Nothobranchius furzeri: one gene and its partners. The protein of the gene in region 3 interacts with the protein of the main gene of each other region in a pairwise test. Links are inferred from orthologs where the notes say so. Each region holds a gene or a part of one and is shown on either strand. Other genes may lie near its edges.

What was found.
Region 1: the proteins of prmt1 (region 3) and btg1 interact in a two-hybrid assay, tested with the Homo sapiens proteins (2 studies listed by BioGRID). The link is inferred for Nothobranchius furzeri from reciprocal best matches to the Homo sapiens genes PRMT1 and BTG1.
Region 2: the proteins of prmt1 (region 3) and spega interact in binary tests that used the Homo sapiens proteins (3 or more experiments, as listed by UniProt). The two-hybrid records come from large-scale screens. The link is inferred for Nothobranchius furzeri from reciprocal best matches to the Homo sapiens genes PRMT1 and SPEG.
Region 4: the proteins of prmt1 (region 3) and daxx interact in a two-hybrid assay, tested with the Homo sapiens proteins (2 studies listed by BioGRID and IntAct). The link is inferred for Nothobranchius furzeri from reciprocal best matches to the Homo sapiens genes PRMT1 and DAXX.
Region 5: the proteins of prmt1 (region 3) and heterogeneous nuclear ribonucleoprotein R interact in binary tests that used the Homo sapiens proteins (3 or more experiments, as listed by UniProt). The link is inferred for Nothobranchius furzeri from reciprocal best matches to the Homo sapiens genes PRMT1 and HNRNPR.

What each region holds. Positions count from the first base shown.
Region 1 is NC_091741.1:44,414,668-44,418,809, forward strand, and holds the start of btg1 (protein BTG1), read right to left. Parts: upstream 2,807-4,142; 5' UTR 2,338-2,806; coding exon 2,193-2,337; intron 1-2,192. UniProt on the Homo sapiens protein: Anti-proliferative protein.
Region 2 is NC_091742.1:63,023,333-63,026,844, reverse strand, and holds part of spega (striated muscle preferentially expressed protein kinase), read right to left. Parts: intron 1,829-3,512; coding exon 1-1,828.
Region 3 is NC_091758.1:13,912,153-13,916,340, forward strand, and holds the start of prmt1 (protein arginine N-methyltransferase 1), read right to left. Parts: upstream 2,813-4,188; 5' UTR 2,704-2,812; coding exon 2,671-2,703; intron 1-2,670. UniProt on the Homo sapiens protein: Arginine methyltransferase that methylates (mono and asymmetric dimethylation) the guanidino nitrogens of arginyl residues present in proteins such as ESR1, histone H2, H3 and H4, FMR1, ILF3, HNRNPA1, HNRNPD, NFATC2IP, SUPT5H, TAF15, EWS, HABP4, SERBP1, RBM15, FOXO1, CHTOP, MAP3K5/ASK1, MICU1 and NPRL2.
Region 4 is NC_091759.1:22,797,642-22,801,695, reverse strand, and holds the start of daxx (death domain-associated protein 6), read right to left. Parts: upstream 2,802-4,054; 5' UTR 2,662-2,801; intron 732-2,661; 5' UTR 714-731; coding exon 489-713; intron 299-488; coding exon 1-298. UniProt on the Homo sapiens protein: Transcription corepressor known to repress transcriptional potential of several sumoylated transcription factors. Down-regulates basal and activated transcription.
Region 5 is NC_091759.1:6,952,783-6,957,026, forward strand, and holds the start of heterogeneous nuclear ribonucleoprotein R, read right to left. Parts: upstream 2,803-4,244; 5' UTR 2,652-2,802; intron 2,058-2,651; 5' UTR 2,054-2,057; coding exon 1,897-2,053; intron 1,769-1,896; coding exon 1,650-1,768; intron 1,551-1,649; coding exon 1,443-1,550; intron 1,349-1,442; coding exon 1,235-1,348; intron 1-1,234. Other genes in the region: atp5if1a (ATPase inhibitor A, mitochondrial), read right to left, coding at 3,522-3,663, 3,753-3,865. UniProt on the Homo sapiens protein: Component of ribonucleosomes, which are complexes of at least 20 other different heterogeneous nuclear ribonucleoproteins (hnRNP). hnRNP play an important role in processing of precursor mRNA in the nucleus.

The DNA of each region.
Region 1 (4,142 bases), on a different chromosome or scaffold from region 3:
GACAAACAGGCATTCATGGAACTGTGCAACTCCCCCCCCCGGCCTGTCAAACAGCCCCATAACAGGATAAAAATACATAATGTGTCCGGGTGGCCGTTTGGGACAAAGAGCTCCACTTCTTAAAGGGGAAGGTCATCAGTTTCAGGTTGTCGATGATTCATTTTACTGAAACAGTTTGGTTACTCCGGAGCAAATGAGACACCTTTTCGTCTTTATTCCCTGGACAGTTGGGACACGTTGAATCCCCTTTGTCCTCACCCGTTCATTTACCAACCACCTCACTTTAAGCAAACTCATTTTCTGCCAAGGCTCATCAACGCTGAATCCCCATTGGTTGGGACTGTATTGTAGCCATAAAAAGGGGGGAGTTTGGGGGAAGTAGGCCAGCATTAGGCCCGGAGGCCACCTGTATGCAACCATGGGATAATAACAAGCCCACCCCTTACCCACCCACTCCCAGCCTCATCACAGATGGCTGTTTTTCTGCCGAGCTAATGGAAGGGCTGGCATTCATGAAAGAGCGGCCTCAGCCACAAAGGCAGCTGCCGACAAACCCTGGAGCAGCTGGGAAATGATCGGCTCAGCGCGGCCTATTCTTAAAAACCAGGGCACACAGTTGGAGGAGGGGGTGGAACGGACGTAGGAAGTACGCAGACGACTGTGTGCTTAACCTAAAGAGTTTAACCAAAGCAGATTGTTTACTCGTTGGGAGACAACCTCGAACACTGGGGAACCTTTAGCGTGCTGTGTGTTCACCTGAAGCCACTTCCTGTCAGAGTGACATAGTTCAGAACTAAACTTTAGAGGTTGCAATATGGCCAAGGGCCAAAACGTCTCCCTGCCTGTCTGTGCTGAGCACCAGAGCCGGGGCCTTAGGGTTTTAGACACAATGGCAAATGGCCAAAAGGATTCCAAACATAAAAAAGTTCTACTTGACCCAGTTTAGACAGAACAACCACACACACACACCCTCTGCTTTGAATGTGATTGGGAGTGAACTCACTTTGTTTATTACATGATAAATACACACAAGCTTGTATCAGACACCACTTTTCTCTCTTCTACCGCCACCCCCCCCCCCCCCGACACACACACACAGCCTCCAACTTTGTTTACAAAAAAAAAAAAACACTTGCAGATGTTTACAGATAATCATCCATCAATGTGACAATAAGTCCTAAAACAAAACATTTTATTATTGACCCATTTTAACCATCAGTTGTTTCAATTGCTTGGCTTAGATCCAAGCAAACATATTAATAAACAACAATAATGGGTTATCTGGGCCAGCTGCATCTGCGTGGAACTGGGATGGGGCAGATTTATTTGTCTACAGTTTTTAACTCAGATTATTTATTTGTCTACAGTTTTTAGCTCAGAGTATTTATTTGTCTACAGTTTTTAACTCAGATTATTTATTTGTCTACAGTTTTTAGCTCAAGAGTATTTTGGCGCAAAAAGCTGCTTCTGCTCTAAATAAGCTGTAAAAATCCAAAGTTATCCTCATTTTAGAACCGTGTAAAAATAAAGGCAAATTCTTAAAAAAGGATAAAAGGAAGAAACGCAATAAAAAACAACATCTTGTGAATACACAGCGTAAACAAAAATGCGGCAAACTAGAATCAGAAGCAGGCTGTAACTGTTTTCAAACAAGGCCATAATCGTTTAAAACTTATTAAAACACGTGAGTGGAATCAAAAGACGTTTTACGCGGTTATAAACTCTCTTTATAGGAGGAGTGGACATGTTTACCCGCTCCGTCCGGAGCATTACGTAATTGAGCTTGTTTTGCTCAGCGCCTGTGTTCTCAGATCTGTGGAGCGAGGCGCACTTCCTCGTTTGAGCGTCTCTCTCTCTCCCCCCTCTCTCACCCCACCCCCACCCAAATAGACCCAAACAACAGATTCATTCATTTTTTCAGTTTAAAACACCGAAAATGGTCTAAATTAGCCAAACCGTCGACGGATTACCCCGCGCGCTCAAAATGTGATGTTTTATCTCCGACGAGCGCAAACAGTGGCGCGCCTCCGTCGCGCTGATAATGATACTTGAGAGAACAAAGAAAGGCTTCTTCTCAAATCCATTTGAAGCCAATTTTTGCCACTTTTCACCTAAACAGATGTGTAAAACCATTAGTTTGTTTTTTACGCGCGTCTCTTGTGCGCATTTGGATCATTTAGTGCTTTCCTTACCTGACAGAATGTCTTGTAAGCTTTGGTTGAACGTCTGGACCTGTCGGTCGTTTATGTGTCCTTTTACCCTCAGAAATCTCGACAGAAATCCGACGGCGGCGCTTATTTCTGGCTTCATCGTTCCCCGAGCACAAAGGGTATGCATTGAGAAGTGCCACGGCGACGATCCGTGCGCTTTTTCTTGCTTTTGCTGTCCGACTGTTTGCGTTCCTTTTCGATTCTGGGCTTCGATCCTTTTCTGGTGGCGCTCCGGTTTCTCTTGGCATTTATTACTTGAGGTAGAGGAAAGTGTTCGTTGGCTGGTCCGCGTTAGGGGACGGTACCGTGTTTTGGGGTAGACCCCTGGCTTTAGTAAATACGGAGGTTTAGGGAACCCTCGTCGACCCTCGCTCGTCACTTTCCTCCTCCAGAGTGAGAGCTTTCGCTAGGGGAGAGAGGTTTTTATATTGCGCCCCCTCCCCCCACCTCCTCCTCCCTACATCTCCGTCACAAAAACCTACGGCAACTACAGCTCACCAATCCGAGGCCCAGACACGCACTGACGAGCCGCATATAGGAGGAGTGCAGAGTGCGCGTCATCGAGCCCAAAATAAACAGAGGCGCTCGGCGTGAAATGATGGTGCGTTTCCGTGCTGTCGGAAAAGCTGCAACTGGAGGAAACAAAAGCGAGCAGAAAAGCACAGGAACGAATAAAAAAACAGCACCACGCTGCCCACAGATGGACGATCGCTGCTGTGTTTACACACTGATACGTTTATGACAAACATCTCCTATAGTCGTTTCTCCTGGACAAAACTGAACACGATGAGGTAGCAGCTGTGAAAAAAGCACTCGAACCCAAAAAAAATTCAGGCTGTTTTCAATCAAGATGTTTTTGAAGGTGAATAAAGTTTTTGGTCTCCACACAGATTTATTCTGTTGTTGCTTTTTAGACGTTTCAGGTCAGAAAACACTTAAATATCAGACAATGATCCAATCCTGAGTCTCGTGTTTTCAGATGGTAGTAGAGAACATTATGCAAACTTAGCTGACTCTAAAGGAAAAGTAAACCACACACAGTGAAGGAATCATGAAAGGAAGAATGATCACAAATAAAACCACTCTTTTCATTCCAGAATAAAAGCCAGGACAACATCTCGCTCACGGGTGAAGGCCCGTTCTGATGACCCAAAGATGGCAACAACTCCCCAGAAGCCTAAGCCGTTTTCTGTAGTTTAGTACATCATCACTCTCAAATCAAACACTTGTTGACAATTATCGCATTTTTCAACTGAACGAACTGAGTATCGACTTATTTTAGCAAAAATATTCTTAAATTTGAACAAATTGACAAAACAAAAGTTTGACTTTAGAGACATTTAAACAGAAAGATGAGTTCCAACAAACTGAGACAGCAGTAGGTCAGGAGGTAGACCAGGTTGTCCAGTAGGCTCAAGTAGAAGGTTGCAGGTTTGATCCCAGCTCCGACCAGATAATGCTGCTGTTGTGTCCATGGGCAAGACAATTAACCCACATTGCCTGCTGGTGGTGGTCGGAGAGAGCGTTGGCGCCCGTGCTCGGCAGCCTCGCCTCTGTCGGTGCGCCCCAGGGCAGCTGTGGCTACATCGTAGCTCATCCCCACCAGCGTGTGAATGTGTGAATAACTACTTGTGTGAAGCGCCTTGGGAGCTCGTAGAAACCTAAGAAAGTGCTTTACAAATACAGACCATATCACCAATATACAGAAACAAAACAGGAGCACTGACACCTTCTTCTGTTAAGTATGAAAATGGACGAGGATGTCCGACCTCAGGGTTCGACTCTTGTCTCTTTCCAATTAATTTAGTTCAGCGTTGTTATGAATGGGGATGTTTTCACCAACCCTCTGAAAAGGACAGAGAAATGATTCATAATCAGAATGCAATGAGGGTAACAACACATTATTATTATTATATTACTATTTGATAATAA
Region 2 (3,512 bases), on a different chromosome or scaffold from region 3:
TCTCTTGCTCGAGTTCATCCACTTGCCTCCGTGTCTTGGAACTACTCAGATCTGTTGTATCCAGAGACTTACTCCGACCAACGGCCCAGGAAACCCTCTTATTTATGGCAGCTTCTTGAACATTCTGTTGCTTTCCCCCATTTGGTTTCTCACCTTTCTTCTCGGTGGATGTTGATTTCTTCGCTTGCAAAGACAGCCTCCCAATCAGACCAAGGCCCGCTTCTCGATCCACTTCTCTTAAATCTTGAACGGATTTGGATTTTTCCGATAGTACTCTGGGTACCATTTCCAGAGGCGCCCCCCTCGGTCCTGGCCTGTAAATTTCTTCACCACCTTCAACCTCTTTACGGCTCAATATGGGTGATTTCTCATCTGATATGTTCCTGGTCAGTTTGCGGAGGCCACGGGTCAAAGACGACTCCCGCTTCTTAAACCTGGCTTCAAAGACTTCCTCTGAATCGATGTCTTTGATGTCTGTTCTGAGCACTGGATGACGGGGGACGGTAGGAAGATTGGAGCTAGATGAAAGGGAAACGGAAGCAGGAGCTTGGTCACTAGTTGCTATTTTGGCAAACACAGCTGGATGCTCGGGCGATGCAGATGTACCGGTAGACTTTGTGCCATTCTCTTTCTCACCCTTGCCATGGTTCTTCTCTTCATCTTCCACTATAACAGGTTTGGATTCAGATTCTGCTCTACCTCTCTTTTCTAGTTGAGATTTGGTCCTTTGGTCTGTTCCCTCTACATTGTCATTTTTCACATTGTTCTGGTGTATGTGTTGGTCCAGTTTTGGTTCTGTTGGGAATACAAAGGAAGTTTCCTCTCTCTGTGAGGAAGATAAGGACTCTAATGTTGTTTGTTCCATCAGCGCAGACATTGAAGTCGCCTCTTGAAGTGCCTTCCCTTCTATGTTTGCACTGCAGGCAGATGGGATCTCCAAGGGGGCTCCAAATCTACGGTGCAAGGGCATGGGCTCAGAATCTCCCTGAGTGAAGGAGACAGTTTTGCGGAAAATGTTGGTCTTTGGTGTGTCCTCTCCTGAACTCTCGGATGACGCTGCTCGGGCGAGCATTGATGGCCCTGCTCTAGATCTTCTCAAATTTCGATCAAGGGATCTAGTTTGGCTCTCGTCATCCATGCCAAGCGTTTCAAACAAAGGTCCCCGCAGCCCGCTCATCTTTTTATCAATATTTCCCCCTCTTAGCAGTCGCTGCCTCATCAGCTCCAGTTTGAGGGCATATTCCTCCTGACTTAACTTTGTAGCCCCAGGGCTTGAGCTGCGGTTTGGCAGCTCCATAGAAACAGCCTTTTTCAGACTCTTGCTACTTGTCTCCAAGTCCTCATTTGCATTTTCCTTTTCTGTGTATACTTGGAGAAGCAGTGCCGAATCAGCAGAGCTGCCTCTCCTCATGGTAGCCCGTCTTGGTCTTGTCTGTGATTCGTTGGACTCAACACTTGATCCTTTTTTAAGAGCATCTCGTTCATATTTGCCTAATGTCTCCTCATTTGGAGTTTTATCTGATTCGCTTGTATTAGCCCCTCTTTCATCACCCATGAGGTCCCTTTCCTTCCTACTATTAGGGAGATCAACTTCATCCACTGGGATCTCATTAAGGGAGATCCTGGAACCAGAGAAGACCATGGACAGGGGCATGGGAACAAAGGGAAGCTCATCCGCATCTACGTCTGAGTCAGAGGACGACGAGGGTGCCGGGGAGCCTTCTTTCAAATGCCGGGCCACGGCAATGGAAACATGGGTGGATGAGTCACTCAGAAGCTCTGGGATGGACCTCATTACCATTTTGGATTTGTAGCTGATGAGAGAGCGCTGAAAAAATAAAATCAGAGGGTAGCAATGAGAGGGGATTTGTTTTATGCAGTTTATTAGCCATCTAAGTCACCGCTTTGAATCTCTAAGAAACATGAGAAAATGTCTTTTGGCTTCCCAAGAGCCCTTATACAGACCATTCTAAACCCCCTAAATCAGCCTTGCTGTGAAAAGAGCCATTTACCCTTCCCACTTGGCCAGGACATGAATATGCTAATGAGCTGCTTGCTGATTGGTTGGTTTAAACCAGAAGGCCTCAGACACTGGAGACAGCAAACTGGACGGGGAAGGGCTCCACATTGTGACATTTTTATCATGTTTCTCAGAAAAGAAGATTTTCTCTGGCATTTTTAAACTTTCTCATTTACATAAAAAGTAGGTCACACACGGCTTTGACTTTTCTGTACTTTTGACCCCCCAAGCTGTCTTTATTCACAAACAAGAAAAATGTTGGTTTCAATTCTTTGTCCCCATTAATGGTTACATACATTACATTTATTTATCAACATGAGATGTCTTAAATGACTGGACTTATGTTAGATCAGTTAGCAAGTTATCAGTTAGCAAGTAAACAAAGTAGGTCACAAATGAAAGTTTAGTTCAAATTTAGCCTCTTTTGCATGTCATTAAATTAAAACTAGAAGGATAATTTGGAATGGTCACGATAGTGCCACTTTATACATTATAGGATTAAAATAAATATTTATGAAAGTATTTAAAGGGGCCATTTTATGAAAAATCACCAATTTGGAGCTTTTTACCACGTGGTATTTTTTATGAAAAATACCACCAAACCAGTTTTTTTTGCTGCACTCATGTATTTTCCTGTCTCAGCTGCAAATTTAGAGATTTATTTTGAAAATCCTGATAACCCTTGATGGAAAGTAAGTGCGTCAACTGGCCCTGCTTCTTTCCTCAAAGCTAGTCTCTGAATTGAAACTCGCCTTGCCTGGAAGTAGGTCACTAACTCCCACTTTCTTCTAGTTGCGGGCATAGAGATGCTTCACTTGAGAATGATAAATGGCCAGTATTTGTATACTTCTTAGGGTTGTACATCCCCCAAGGCGCTTCACAACTCAATCAGTCATTCACACATTCGCATTGAACTTGCAATATTCCAATTACTGAACAACACACTCTACCTCCTGAGCTACTGCTGTCCCTGCATGTGACCTTCATGTCACAGATGATTGTTTTAAACCACGACCAGTATCAGAGTGGATATTCTGACAAATTATTTCTGCGTTGGGGACAAAAACCCTTGATAAACCATGTGTCCTGTCAACAAAGATGCACATAATAGCCAGCACAGGACATAAGTGTTAGGTGACTATTGTTTTGGAACAGACTTGGTAGTCCAGTGGTTAGAGTGCCAAGGCAGTCGCTTTAACCACTGGACTACCAAGGCCCATACAACAGCAGACTTGACTAAGACACTGTTGTAGGTGCATTTTGTAAGAGAGTGTGTGGGCGGAGCTTCACTGAAATGAGCCATTTCATTTCCGGGTATGAATTCAGGCTGACGATAATAACCTACTTGAGATAAAATTAAATCTCAGTAGTGCCATTGGTAATATTTTTCCATATACTGTGCCTACCTTTGCTCTTAAAGATTTAAAATAGCATGAGCTGGAAACATATATATATATATATATATATATATATATATATATATATATATATA
Region 3 (4,188 bases):
GCGTGATCCAAGGATTTGGGTTGAGGGAGAATGCAACGAGTCGCTATATAAAGCAGCTGCAGCGCCGCTACCTGCATATAAACCGTGTCGCAGACTAGGGCTGCTCAATTAATCGAATTTTAATCACGATTACGATCTGAGTTTTGAACGATTATAAAAAACAAAACAAGCCGATTATTTGCTCCTCCCGCCTGCGCTGCCCCGAGTTGCAAATGAAGCGCTCCTCACAGTGTTGCCAACTTAGCGACTTTGACGCTATTTCTAGCAGCTTTTCAGACACCCTTCTTGACTTTTTAACTTAAAAGTACCTAGCGAACACCTGAGAAACATCTCTGGTAACCCTTAGCTACTTTCTGGATAACTGTCATCGACATTTCCTGCAGGTTAGCTTAACACTCCGCCTGCGCCCCGGACCGTTCTTCAGGACATTAGGAAAGGGAATGATGTAGTGATGTGTCAGTCGCTAAAGAAACAGCTCTCAGAGCCGGCTCCCTGTTGGAGTAACCAGAGTGAGTGACACACACACCGCACCTGCGGACTCCTGAGCCACTAAAAACGGCTAAATGTGCGTGTGCGGCGCGCTAAACACACGTGCAGTTTGCCCCGATTGCTGTGAGACCGGGTTGGGGGGTGCAGCTGTGGTTGGGACAATTATTACATTAACTGATGGACTTGTAAATAAATAGTTTATAAATAATGTAGAAATAAGTTCCTCACGCTGATAATTAATAACTAATCTCTGAGGACACGGTGCTAGTGCACTCTCCTACAGCACCTTGACACAACTAAATAAATGTTATGCAACATTTTGTGAACATAAATTTATTTGCATGTATTTGTTGCCACTGTATAATTCTTGCTGTCAGTATTTGCAAGATATTGGTATTTGGGTCTGTACTGGTTAGACTTAAATGAGTTAAACCAAGGTCTATAGCCCTTGGGTCATAAACTATGAGCTATAAAAATATATTGGTCTTTTTATACTGGGAATCAGGAGTTCTTTTAGTGATCATCTTGTTTCTTATTTTTGTCCTGATTGTGCCCTGAGCAATTTTATGACTGAATAAAAACAAATAAAATCAACATAAATTGAAAAATCGTCCTAAATAATCGTGATCTCAATTTCAGTCACCATAATCGTGATTATTATTTTCGCCATAATCGAGCAGCCCTATCGCAGACACCCCATGTTGAAATGACGCTATGCATTACGGGGCTCCCAGGGGCAGATAAGAGTTGGTCTCTCTCCGAGAATAATTATGAATTTAACAATGATTACTGCCTGATGACATTTTCCCACATCTGCAAAGCTCACTGGAAGGACACAAACCGAGGACAATATTTACCTGATATAGGGTTTGTTACTCAAGTAAGGGTAAAGTATCTGATTAGAAGGCTACTTGAGTACTGAGTATCATCGGATCTAATATTTTTAAATGATGACATCAAACAGACAAAAAATAAGTAGCAAATATCTGTATTTTAAAGACTAATGGGAAACAATGTAAACAAATAAACATTACAAAATAACACATTTTAGGCAAAATTTAGACAAACTGTGGAGAATATTTCCTGACATACAGGGTTTATTTAATTGTGTGAAAATGTAGCACGTTAAAAAAATACCGCGATAATACCGAAAACCGTGGTAATTTTGGTCACAATAACCGTGAGCTTAAATTTTCACACCGTGACAACCCTACCTCAGACCCACCGGTCTGCCTGTTTTTACCGCTGCTGCTACGCTGTCTCTGAGGACAAAGATGACGTAATAAATACATTCCGTCCTAGTGAGGATTCAGGAACCAGTCCCCTGAGCTCCTGTGATCAGGAACCAGCAGCAGCATCTACTACCACGTCTAAACTAAACCGTCTCTTATGCTTGTCCACTCTGACTGAGGTTAAACGTAACCAGCGTTGTGTTAAAGCAATTTGACCACGTTAAAAAAACCGAGAATGTTCACCTCACTGACTTTAAACATGTACAATAATCGCGAGGAGTAAACTGGGCAGAGGGCTGTTAGATGGGAGATGAGTGTCAACGTGCACCCGGCTCCCGACACCTCCAGACCGAACAGATTAGCTTAGCGGCTAAGTCTCCCTCCCATGAACGCTACAGAAGTTTAAACACTTTAAATTTTAAGTTTGTTTGACTCTGAGCCCAGCGGTTTTCTAACCCGAGTAAAACATGTAGCTTCGGAGGCTAACCAGCACAAGAGGTAACATGTTGGACTGACTCACTGTACAAAGCCGATAACTAGTTAGCATCAGAGGCTAACTAGCTTCAGAGCTAACACGTTGGACCCATTGTGCAAAGCCGAGAACCAGTTATCATAGACTACCTAGCTTCAGAGCTAACACGTTGGACCCATGCGGTCACAGAGGACACACCGGCTAACTTCAGCCATTACCGCTCACTCACGATGTAACGAAATTTTTAAATCACGACCTACACGCGTTACTGACTGAGTGTCAGAGTTTTGTCGTATTTTTTCTGATTTGTTCTAACTGCGACACTAATGAATGAGCGGCATCAGCAGACACATGAAACCACGTTTAAAAATCGGTTTTTCTGTGTGTGGTAAAGAAACACACGTCCGACATCGGTGGAAGCCAACACTAAAAATTCGTGTGTGTGAAGTTACTATATTTCTCCCAGTAAGTCCTTACCTCCATCCTTTCTGCTGGCGCCGCCATTTCCATCTTCTGCCTTGTGTCGTGTCTTCTTCTTCGTCAGGTTCTTCTACTTTGGCGGACGGCTGCTTCTTCTTCTTCTGGACTTACATACGTCATTTACAGCGTTTCCGCCATATTGGATGGGCCTCCTTTGTGCTGCCTATGGCTAAAACAACCGGCGTACTATTGAAAGCAGATCACGTGGGATTACCAGAGACTTTTCTAGCCTACCTGATGGGATTTTATATTAAATTTAATTAATATTTATTTTGTTTAATTATATTTATATTTTATTATTATGCCATACATTGTGCCTGATTTTGTGAAAAAGCTCGATTAAATTTGTTTTTTAGTTGAGTTAGCCCCTTCCTCAGTAGAAATTAATGCACCGGGGGCGAATGGAGACCCATCCAAAATGGCGGATGGCCACTACGGCAGATCCAGTCCACGGGGCGTTGCCGTAAATATGTCTGCGCATACCTAACGTGAAAAGGTGTTTACTGCCACCTACTGTTAGTAGTAATCGGACGTTTTATTTATTGAAGACTCCTCGACTTTTATAAGCTTGGAAGGCTTTTACTGAGCATCAATGCTTTTTTACAGCAGCACCTGAGAACCACAGCGCCCCCAACTGGAGATGACGGGTATCTTTATTTTAAAGTATCTTTTTTTATATCAACTAAACAGAGGATTATTGACATTTGGAATAACAGCACCCAAACATCGGAAAAGTTGGAGTGCATTATGAACAAATGACCTTGACTCCATCACTAAGAGAACAAATTAAAATTTGTATGCATCAGTTTCTCTGAGGACCTCTCCTGAGGCCCCAAAGGCTAAACAGCATTTGTATTTGCTGAGAAGGCTGAGGAAGTTTAGGATGCCAAGTCCTGCCCTCACCAGTCCGTACTCCATCAAGAGAGGAAATGGAACAGCTTCACACGAGACGAGCTATGTGTGGAAACAGCTCAGCAAACGAATACCAGGCAGGCTCCATGGTGGATGCAGCAAAAAAGAAAAAAATAATCCACTGGCTCAGCACTCTACACTGGAAATGCTGCCTACTTCTACAACACCTGTCCTTAGGAGGAAAAACAACATCATCAGGGGACTGAACCCCCACAACACAAACTGTGCAGCTTTTATCTACAAAAGCACAATAACCAGAAGCACCAGACTAAAAGAGAGTTTTATTCTTCTGACTTATCGGCCCCATCCTGCAACACCAGTTCACCCACTGCTAAAATAAATGCACAAAAATCTTTGACCTAATCATTCACTCTGAAAAATATTGCACAGGTAGATGTGTTGCACAATACGTTTAGGTTTGTTGTTTTTGTGTACTGTTTGTACAAATACATGTTTACATGTTGCCCTGTGGGGTATGTTACTTCTTAAATGTTTGCATTTGTGCACCTGTGTTTGGCCTACCTCAGGTATCCTAATTATTACTGTCCTGGTACTAGAAGGGTCTACCAGAGCAGATAGATGCAGACTGTGCAACAACGCTGC
Region 4 (4,054 bases), on a different chromosome or scaffold from region 3:
TTTTACTCTGGAGTGAATCGGGAGCAGACCGGGTGGCACCCGACGTCGATGCAGAAGGCTCCGCCTGGCTGAGGGCCGGCCTCTTCTTGACGCTGTGCTGCTTGAGCACGGTGCACAGTTCATTAATGTAGACGAATGTTTTGGAGCTGTTGGCCTGAGCGCGGGTCAGACATCGTCCCAGCGTGTTCCTGAACTCCACGGAGGACAGGAACTCAGCGCTGGCCTTGGCGTGCTTGGTCTGGAGGAAGGTTAAGACCTCTGGGCAGTCCTTAGTGAGAGACGTGCAGTGCTCCAAAAACTGGAGAAAAGGCAGAAAGGAACCTGATGAAGCGTTTGGTGAATCTGGTTTTGTTAGAGAATAAAACTATATACATATATATATATATATATACATATATATATATATATATATATATATATATATATATATATATACATATATATATATATATATATATATATATATATATATATATATATAAACTCACCACACTGAACAGCTTCTGGTTCTCTGCCTGCAGAGCGTTTACGCTCTTCCTGTTGGAAGCAAAAGGAGAGTGGACGATGTGTGTGGGAGCCTGCTGCTGACGGCGGGCTGGAGAGACGTTACTGGTTTGTCGCTTGGAGGAGGAGGAGGTGGCAGAGGAACACGCAGGTTCATCATCTTCAAGCACAATGATCTGATCTGCCAATGAGGCAGGAGCCACCGCCATCCCAAGTTCAGCTTGTTTCTGTTTATAAAACCCAAACGAGATGAAGGAGATCAGCAGAGCGGCGAGTTTATCATCGATAACGGTTAGGAAGTGACAGAGTTCTCTGTAAACCTCTAGAGTTGTATGGAGGTCGTTTGTTAATATCTCTGGTGATTTAAACCCTTTTAGCATATTTAAGAGAACGTGTGACGTTTCGGCTGTTTATATTCAACGCTGGTCCGCTTCCTTGCTTGGTGCAGCTCTCTTTAGGGTGCAAAACAAAAGTGTAGTTCTGAGACCCGATGAAGGAGGTGGCCTCAAAAGGTTGCAGCTTTGAGGCCCACACCCTCCTGTTATCAGACTTGCATTGCATTCTGGGATGTGAGTGAAAACGTAAACAACAACAACAGCTGCAGCATCTCACAACAAGCCACATATAGAGGATCTACTTCACTCGTGTTGATCAGAAGACTGGATTTGTCAGCTCTGACTCAGAAAATGTTCAAATTATTTATAAACAGATAAATAAAATATATTTATGTAATTGTGTAAATAAGGTTTGCTGAAGGTTTTTTGGTTTATAAACAGACTTCAGACTAAAGAGCAGATAAAACATCTCAGAACTTTTACAAGGTTTTTAATTCAGTAAAATAACGATTATTTGTTGTCGTCTTCCTCCGCTTATCCGGGTCGCGAGGGCAGCATCCCAACTAGGGAGCTCCAGACCGTCCTCTCTCCAGCCGCCTCCACCAGCTCCTCTGGCAGGACCCCAAGGCGTTCCCGGACCAGATTAGAGATGTAAACTCTCCAACGTGTCCTGGGTCGACCCGGGGGTCTCCTGCCAGCAGGACGTGCCTGAAACACCTCCCCAGGGAGGCGTCCAGGAGACATCCTGACCAGATGCCCAAGCCACCTCAGCTGGCTCCTTTCGATCCGGAGGAGCAGCGGTTCTACTCCGAGTCCCTCCCGAATGTCCGAGCTCCTCACCCTATCTCTAAGGCTGAGCCCGGCCACCCTACGGAGGAAACTCATTTCGGCCGCTTGTATCCGTGATCTCGTTCTTTCGGTCATTACCCAAAGCTCATGACCATAGGTGAGGATTGGGACGTAGATCGACCGGTAAATCGAGAGCCTGGCTTTCTGGCTCAGCTCCCTCTTCACCACGACAGATCGGCTCAGCGTCCGCATCACTGCAGATGCCGAACCAATCCGCCTGTCGATCTCCCGATCCCTCCTACCCTCACTCGTGAACAAGACCCCGAGATACTTAAACTCCTCCACTTGAGGTAGGACCTCTCCCCCGACCCGGAGTTGGCAAGCCACCCTTTCCCTATGATTATTAATAATAATATTTATATTTAGTCATAATTCAATTAATGTATCTCTAACTTCCCAGCATCTTACAGTAGTGATTTAAATATTCATAAACATTACATCAAAACAAAATACTTGTATGTCTCATAAAAGTAGATTATGTCCATTTCAGTTTCACTCTCAGGCATTTTGAAAACATTAAAATAAAATTAGACATTCCAAAGATTTCAAACGTTTGTGTGTAGAAATAATGTTGATGTCATATTTAGCCTAAATGTAGATGTTAAAACATAATCACCCTAACCCAATCATAATACATAAATGCTTTAAAGAATAATTTATTATAAAGTATTGGATTATTTGGGATTATTTTAGTAGAAACAAACATTTCTAATTAAGGACCTCTTAGGAAACGAGAATTAGCTTTTAATAACAACATTTTTCTGTGCTTTGCTTTAATAGTAAAACACTGTCGCTGTTAACTAAAACATCAAAGCACATGTTGTTAAACACGTTAACTTACATTCCCGCGAAATTATTAGCTTTAAAGGACAGAAACGAAACTGAAACGCCAGTAAACCTGAGATAATTCTGATCTTGTGTTAAAATAGATAAGAGCTACAGACAGTTGACCACAAATACCAAAAACACTTACCTCTTGTTTAAGAGCAGTTCGATGAGAAAATAAAGAACATTTGCGGGTTACAACGCAGCTGGTTAGCTGATGTTAGCATTAGCAACAAGTAATCATGTTTATTTTTATGGTTAACACGAAAATTGGTCTTAGTCTGTTTGTTTTGGATAATAAACAAAATAAACTATTGTTTAATTCTAGTTTTAACCCAATGAGGCTTCCTGTTTACTCACAAAAAGCTTCTAGACTTAGCTAAATTGTTAACTCGCGACCCGCTAAACTCCGACGCACGTAGTTGACTCTGGTTGGTCAAAAGACACGTTGGGATGAGTAAAGCCTTCTGTCATTGGACAAAAGGAATGTGTCTTTTTCTCTGGTTTATTTTCTGGTTAACTTTTTTTTTACCGCCACCTGCTGGAAACATGTATGACGATAGAGGTCTCCAAGAAGTTTGTTTTCCACGCCGAATTTCTACAAGTTAAAATAAATGCAAGCGTTTAAGTGGAATATTTCTACAAATTATAAAGCAGATGACAACAGAGACCAAAACTTGCTTTTCATGCAGAATTTCCTGCAGAATTTTAATTACATCTTTCTCATTAAATGTTTTAGTCCTGAATGTCTCAACTGAAATGTCTGTGGTGTTTATTTTCAGCTACAAACATATTTGTGTCAGCTTGTGCAAAACTTCCTTAAATTTATGCAAACATTCTAGTCAGGCTCTGACACAAGGCAGCTGCTGTTTAAACAATTCTGCAGGAGATGCACAACAAACTAATTTATGTGTTTTTAAAGGCTACACTGCTTTTTAATTTGTTGAAATATTCCAGAAGTGTTGGTTTATATTATTAAATATCAGTGGCGCCATTAATTCTAATGGTACTTGTTTGTTATTGAATTTACTTTTCTAGTTGGCACAATTCATCTCCTAGAAGGTTTTATTGAGGTAAAACATCTTTAATCAGATGAACTAAATTGGTGTTTTAAATTTCTAAACTCACTTAAAGTTATTTACATAAAATTAAAACTACAATCACAATTCCTATAATTAACATAAATACTAATTTATCACAAATATGCCTATTGGATCATTCCTAATCCCACAAGTTTATCATATTGAAAAAAACAAATTTCATATCTTCTATCTATGTGAATTGCTACTAAAATGGATTTTTTTTCTTCACAAAGATCAGAATTAGATGCTTGTTCCCCATAAAAGTCTTTATTTTAGTGAAGTTTCCACCAACACAACCCCTGACTCATAACTATGCAGAATTATACACAAAAGACTTTTCAGACTTACAAAAGTCACATTTCATTAGAAGTTATGGAGAATTTTAAATTAATTTTACTGTCTCCAATAAATTGAGATTTCTTGTCCAAATAAATATTTTTTTCTGGTATTAAGTTCAGA
Region 5 (4,244 bases), on a different chromosome or scaffold from region 3:
GTCCATTTCCAGAAATCACTAGATTAACAATTTGGGCACATTTTCAAATGTCTTTCATATTTTAGTTATAATTAAGATCAAAGCTCTGCTGCATTTTGGTCACCATGTATGAACAGAGTTTGCAGAAAATTTCATCACTTTATATATATATATATATTAGGGCTAGGGGTAAACGATTATTTTTAAAACGATTATTCTGACGATTATTTTATCGAATAGTCGACTATTCTAATGACTATTTAGAAAATTAATCTAATGATTATTTTTCTATTGCACAATTAACAAAAACCAGAAAATCTCAAATAAATTCCTCAAAAAGAATTGATAAATTCTTACTGTAAGAGAATAAACACTACAGGCCTTCCATTTTGTATAACACTGTGTTTATTGTGTTGGTTGGTTATGTTCTGATGACGTGTAGAACTTGGGAGTGCAGGCTGCTGCCTGAGAGGTGGTAGAAGATGGAGTGTCTCCATGCTGCTTTGTTTTGGTCACTTATGTGCGTGAGGCGAGTGGTCTTACGGGTTAAACCAAACTCAGGTGATATTTTACACTAAACCGAAAACCCACAACACTCTAAATGTAATAAAAGGGAGATCTACACCACAAAAAATATGAACTCTAAACCAAAACGTAACAGCTTATCCCAACGCAAGAAGCTGTTAGCGAAGATGCTAACAGTAGCTTTACCAACATTAAGTTCAAGTTACCAAGTTTAAATAAACCAAAAACACCCAGCAGCAAACAGACCAGCATGGAGGAGAGACTGCTACCACCAAAACAGCTCTCCTCATGTCTGAAAGAAGCTCCTTAATGAAGGGAGAAGCGCTCCCGGTGATTTTCTACATCTGCGATAGACACGAAGCAGCGCATCTGACCCCGGAAGTTGTTGTCCGTTGCCGGGAGACGAAGGGGCAAAACAGGAAAATAATCTAGTAGTGGACGGACGTTGTTCCGGGTCTTCGGTATTTGGCGGAGATGTTAGTGAAGGCGGAGAAGAGGGCGAACTAGAGGAAGAACAGGCAGATTCCTCCTCTATTTACAAACTCCTGGGGATGCAAAAAGTGGGCGCGGTGCGTCGACTTCCGGATCTGACGTCGACAAATTTTTAGAATCGAGCCGTCGACTTCGTCGAGGCTTCGCTACAGCCCTAATATATATATATATATATATATATATATATATATATATATATATATATATATATATATATATATATATGAAGCACTCCTACCTCAGTTCCAATCCCTGGTTGTGAGCCTGTGTATACGTCCTCAGGTGGAGGGCCTCCATATTTTCTCTGCCCTGTAGTCACGTCCAGAGTGTATCCTGTCCTCTCCAACAGAGACTTAAAACAAAAAACAATAACTAAACATTAGTTTCAGATCTAACTTTAAAGCTCACTTTTAACATTTCATACAAATGTGCATAAAATAATTCACCTTTATTTTGGACTCATCTGGACCCTTGGTGGACTCTTGTACCTTGCTTCCTTGTTTTTCCCTCTGTCTGTATGTTTTCATGACTCCACAAAGGAACGCACTTTTATTCTACAAAAAAATTATATAAATACAAATGAAACATAAAGCACTTTGGATACAATCACAGCTTCAGACAAATATTAAAATGTTACCTATAAACATGAATACCTGCACATGAGATAGGTCACTCTCTTTGAATTGCTGCAGCACCGTGAGCGCTCCCTCTTCATTGAACTCTCGCAGAGCATCAATGGCCCTTTCGTCCAAGTCAACATAAGCCACCAAGCCTACAGTAAATTTTATATACATATGTAAAAACACATACACACACACACATATAAAACAAAATGTCAAACAATTTGGAGACATATATATATATTTTAATTTAGCAGCTCATTTTGGAGCGATTACTGACCTGTCTGGAAGATGTTATCTAGACTTTCAGCGACTTTCTGAGGCAGCCCAGCATCAAGTAGTGTTTGGTAGTTTTCTGTGTGTGTTATTGACACATCCATTGGCTCTTCTTCCTCCTTTAATGGAGCAGAACTCCCATTCACCTCAGCAGCAGCCATTCCTCTGCAATATAGCAATCAAGAGAGACATGTCTTTTGATTAATCTGCATTTGCGTAATTATTTTACTTATAAAATCTAGAGATCATATAATAATTTGCGTTTTCAGCCTGTAGCAAACAAAAAATACTCTCACTTCATAGATTTCTTGCTTTTTGATCGCAACTGCTGACATTTGCTAATTCAATTAATTAAAATTGTTGTATATGCTATTAAATGAAGGATGAGATATAATATATATATATATATATATATACACGTTTACATAAAAAATAGCCAGGTTTTCAAAAAGAAACAACAGATAGCTACAGCCCCGCCTCCTTCGCATGCAGCCCGCTAACTAGCCAGATAAATACGTTTAATTCTGATATTTACATGCACGTTTTAAAAGAAAACGAACTCAATTAAAACTTAACAGAAGATTTAATGACTATATTTCAAAGCAAGATGGGGATTTCAAAATGTGCCTTTTCAAGTAGCAGCGATAGTTAGCCAAAAAGCTAACTATCGAAGCTTACGCGCAGGCCTCGCGGTGCCGACAAACGCCTCTCACATATCAAACACATAAAAGGTCCAAACTGATAGTTAGCAAAACTTACCAGCCTGATTCAGGAAGCCAATTACACCGTGGTTTAGCGCGCGAAATTATTAATTTTATTAACGAACGAAAATGCCCAAACAAAGTGTACTTATATCTCTACCACGAGACAATTTTTCCAGACACCAACGGTCTCGTCGTCGGCTCGCCCGAACAACGCAACCGCTCAGCAAATATCGCGAGACCAGAACGAGAAATCATTGAAGGGGGTTTCATGAGAATCATGGCTGCCGTGGTTTCTGTTTCGCAGATACGAACAAAAATAAAACGAAAAACTACGTATTAGCAGGCAATACTTGCGGTGAAGTTGTGATCCCGACTTCTTATATTCATTTCGCAGCATAACGAATCAATTTTGTGATTTCATGAGTATTTTCTGGTCCATTTGTATTTTGTCTGTTTAATTGAATTATCCTCGTTTTGTTGTACTTTTACACTAAAAAACAAAACATGCAGTGTGACTGCAACAGGTAATTTTACTTCTACTTAAAATGCACGATATCTGTATGCAGATAGTTATTTTCTCAAATTTTAAACTGATGTTCAAGATTCTGTTGAAAGTATGGAAAACATACGTTCACAACACTGATGATGGAAAAGAATGCTTCCTTTTTATCCAACTGCTGAAAAGGGATTTTGATTATCTTGGAAGAAACAAATGCACATGTTTTGAACACCAAGCCAAATGTTTAAAAATCCAAAGCGAATTAAATGCATATTTTGACAATGTAGGAAGATTAATCACTTTATTATTTCAGCATGATGAGTCAGAAGGACCTTTCATGACTAAGACCTGCAGAAAGTACAAGTGATAACGACATGTTCACAAGCGGTTCTACTCAGGAAAGAATTGACAGTTGGCCTCTCCCCCTTAATCGTCGTGCGTGAGCTTTCTGATTTTGCCCTTGTGGCGGTCGATCTCCTTCTGTAGGCGTTCAATCTCCTTTTTGTGGTGCTCGATCTCTTCTGAATGATGCTTCCTTAGTGCCTCCAACTGCTCCCGTTCCTTCTGCCTGCAAACAAATGCAACACAGAGACGGTCAAGAAAACACAATACAATGAAAGTAGTAGTACAGTATTATCACTATGCCTGGCATCTCACCGGAAGTACAGCTCCTCCTCTGCTGCTTCTCGCTTTCCAAAGGCACCTCCTGCTGACCTCACATAGCCTCCACCACCACCACCTTTCCCTGCTCCCTTTCCCAATTCACCAAGCTGGAAAAAAACAATATTTTTATGTGATTGTAAATCTCACACTAGGAATGTGCTTTATTTTAACACTTTCGGTTATGCATCACATATCAAAATGTTTAATTAATCTAAGTTATGAGAATCCTCAAAATACCACCTGAAGTTCTTTGATATGAAGTAGGGCTGGACGATATGGAAAAAATGCCCATCACCACAATATTTTTCATATCAGCCAATACTGACCAAACTATTTTTGGCAATTTCTATTACCCTGTATTATTAGGGGAAATCTGAAGCATGCATTTCACACTAGCCGGTTCGGGTGCTAAAACAGATTAGTGATATTCTCAGACTTTGTTCGAACATGCATTTTATATCATTTAGAGTGCACCTTACATTTATC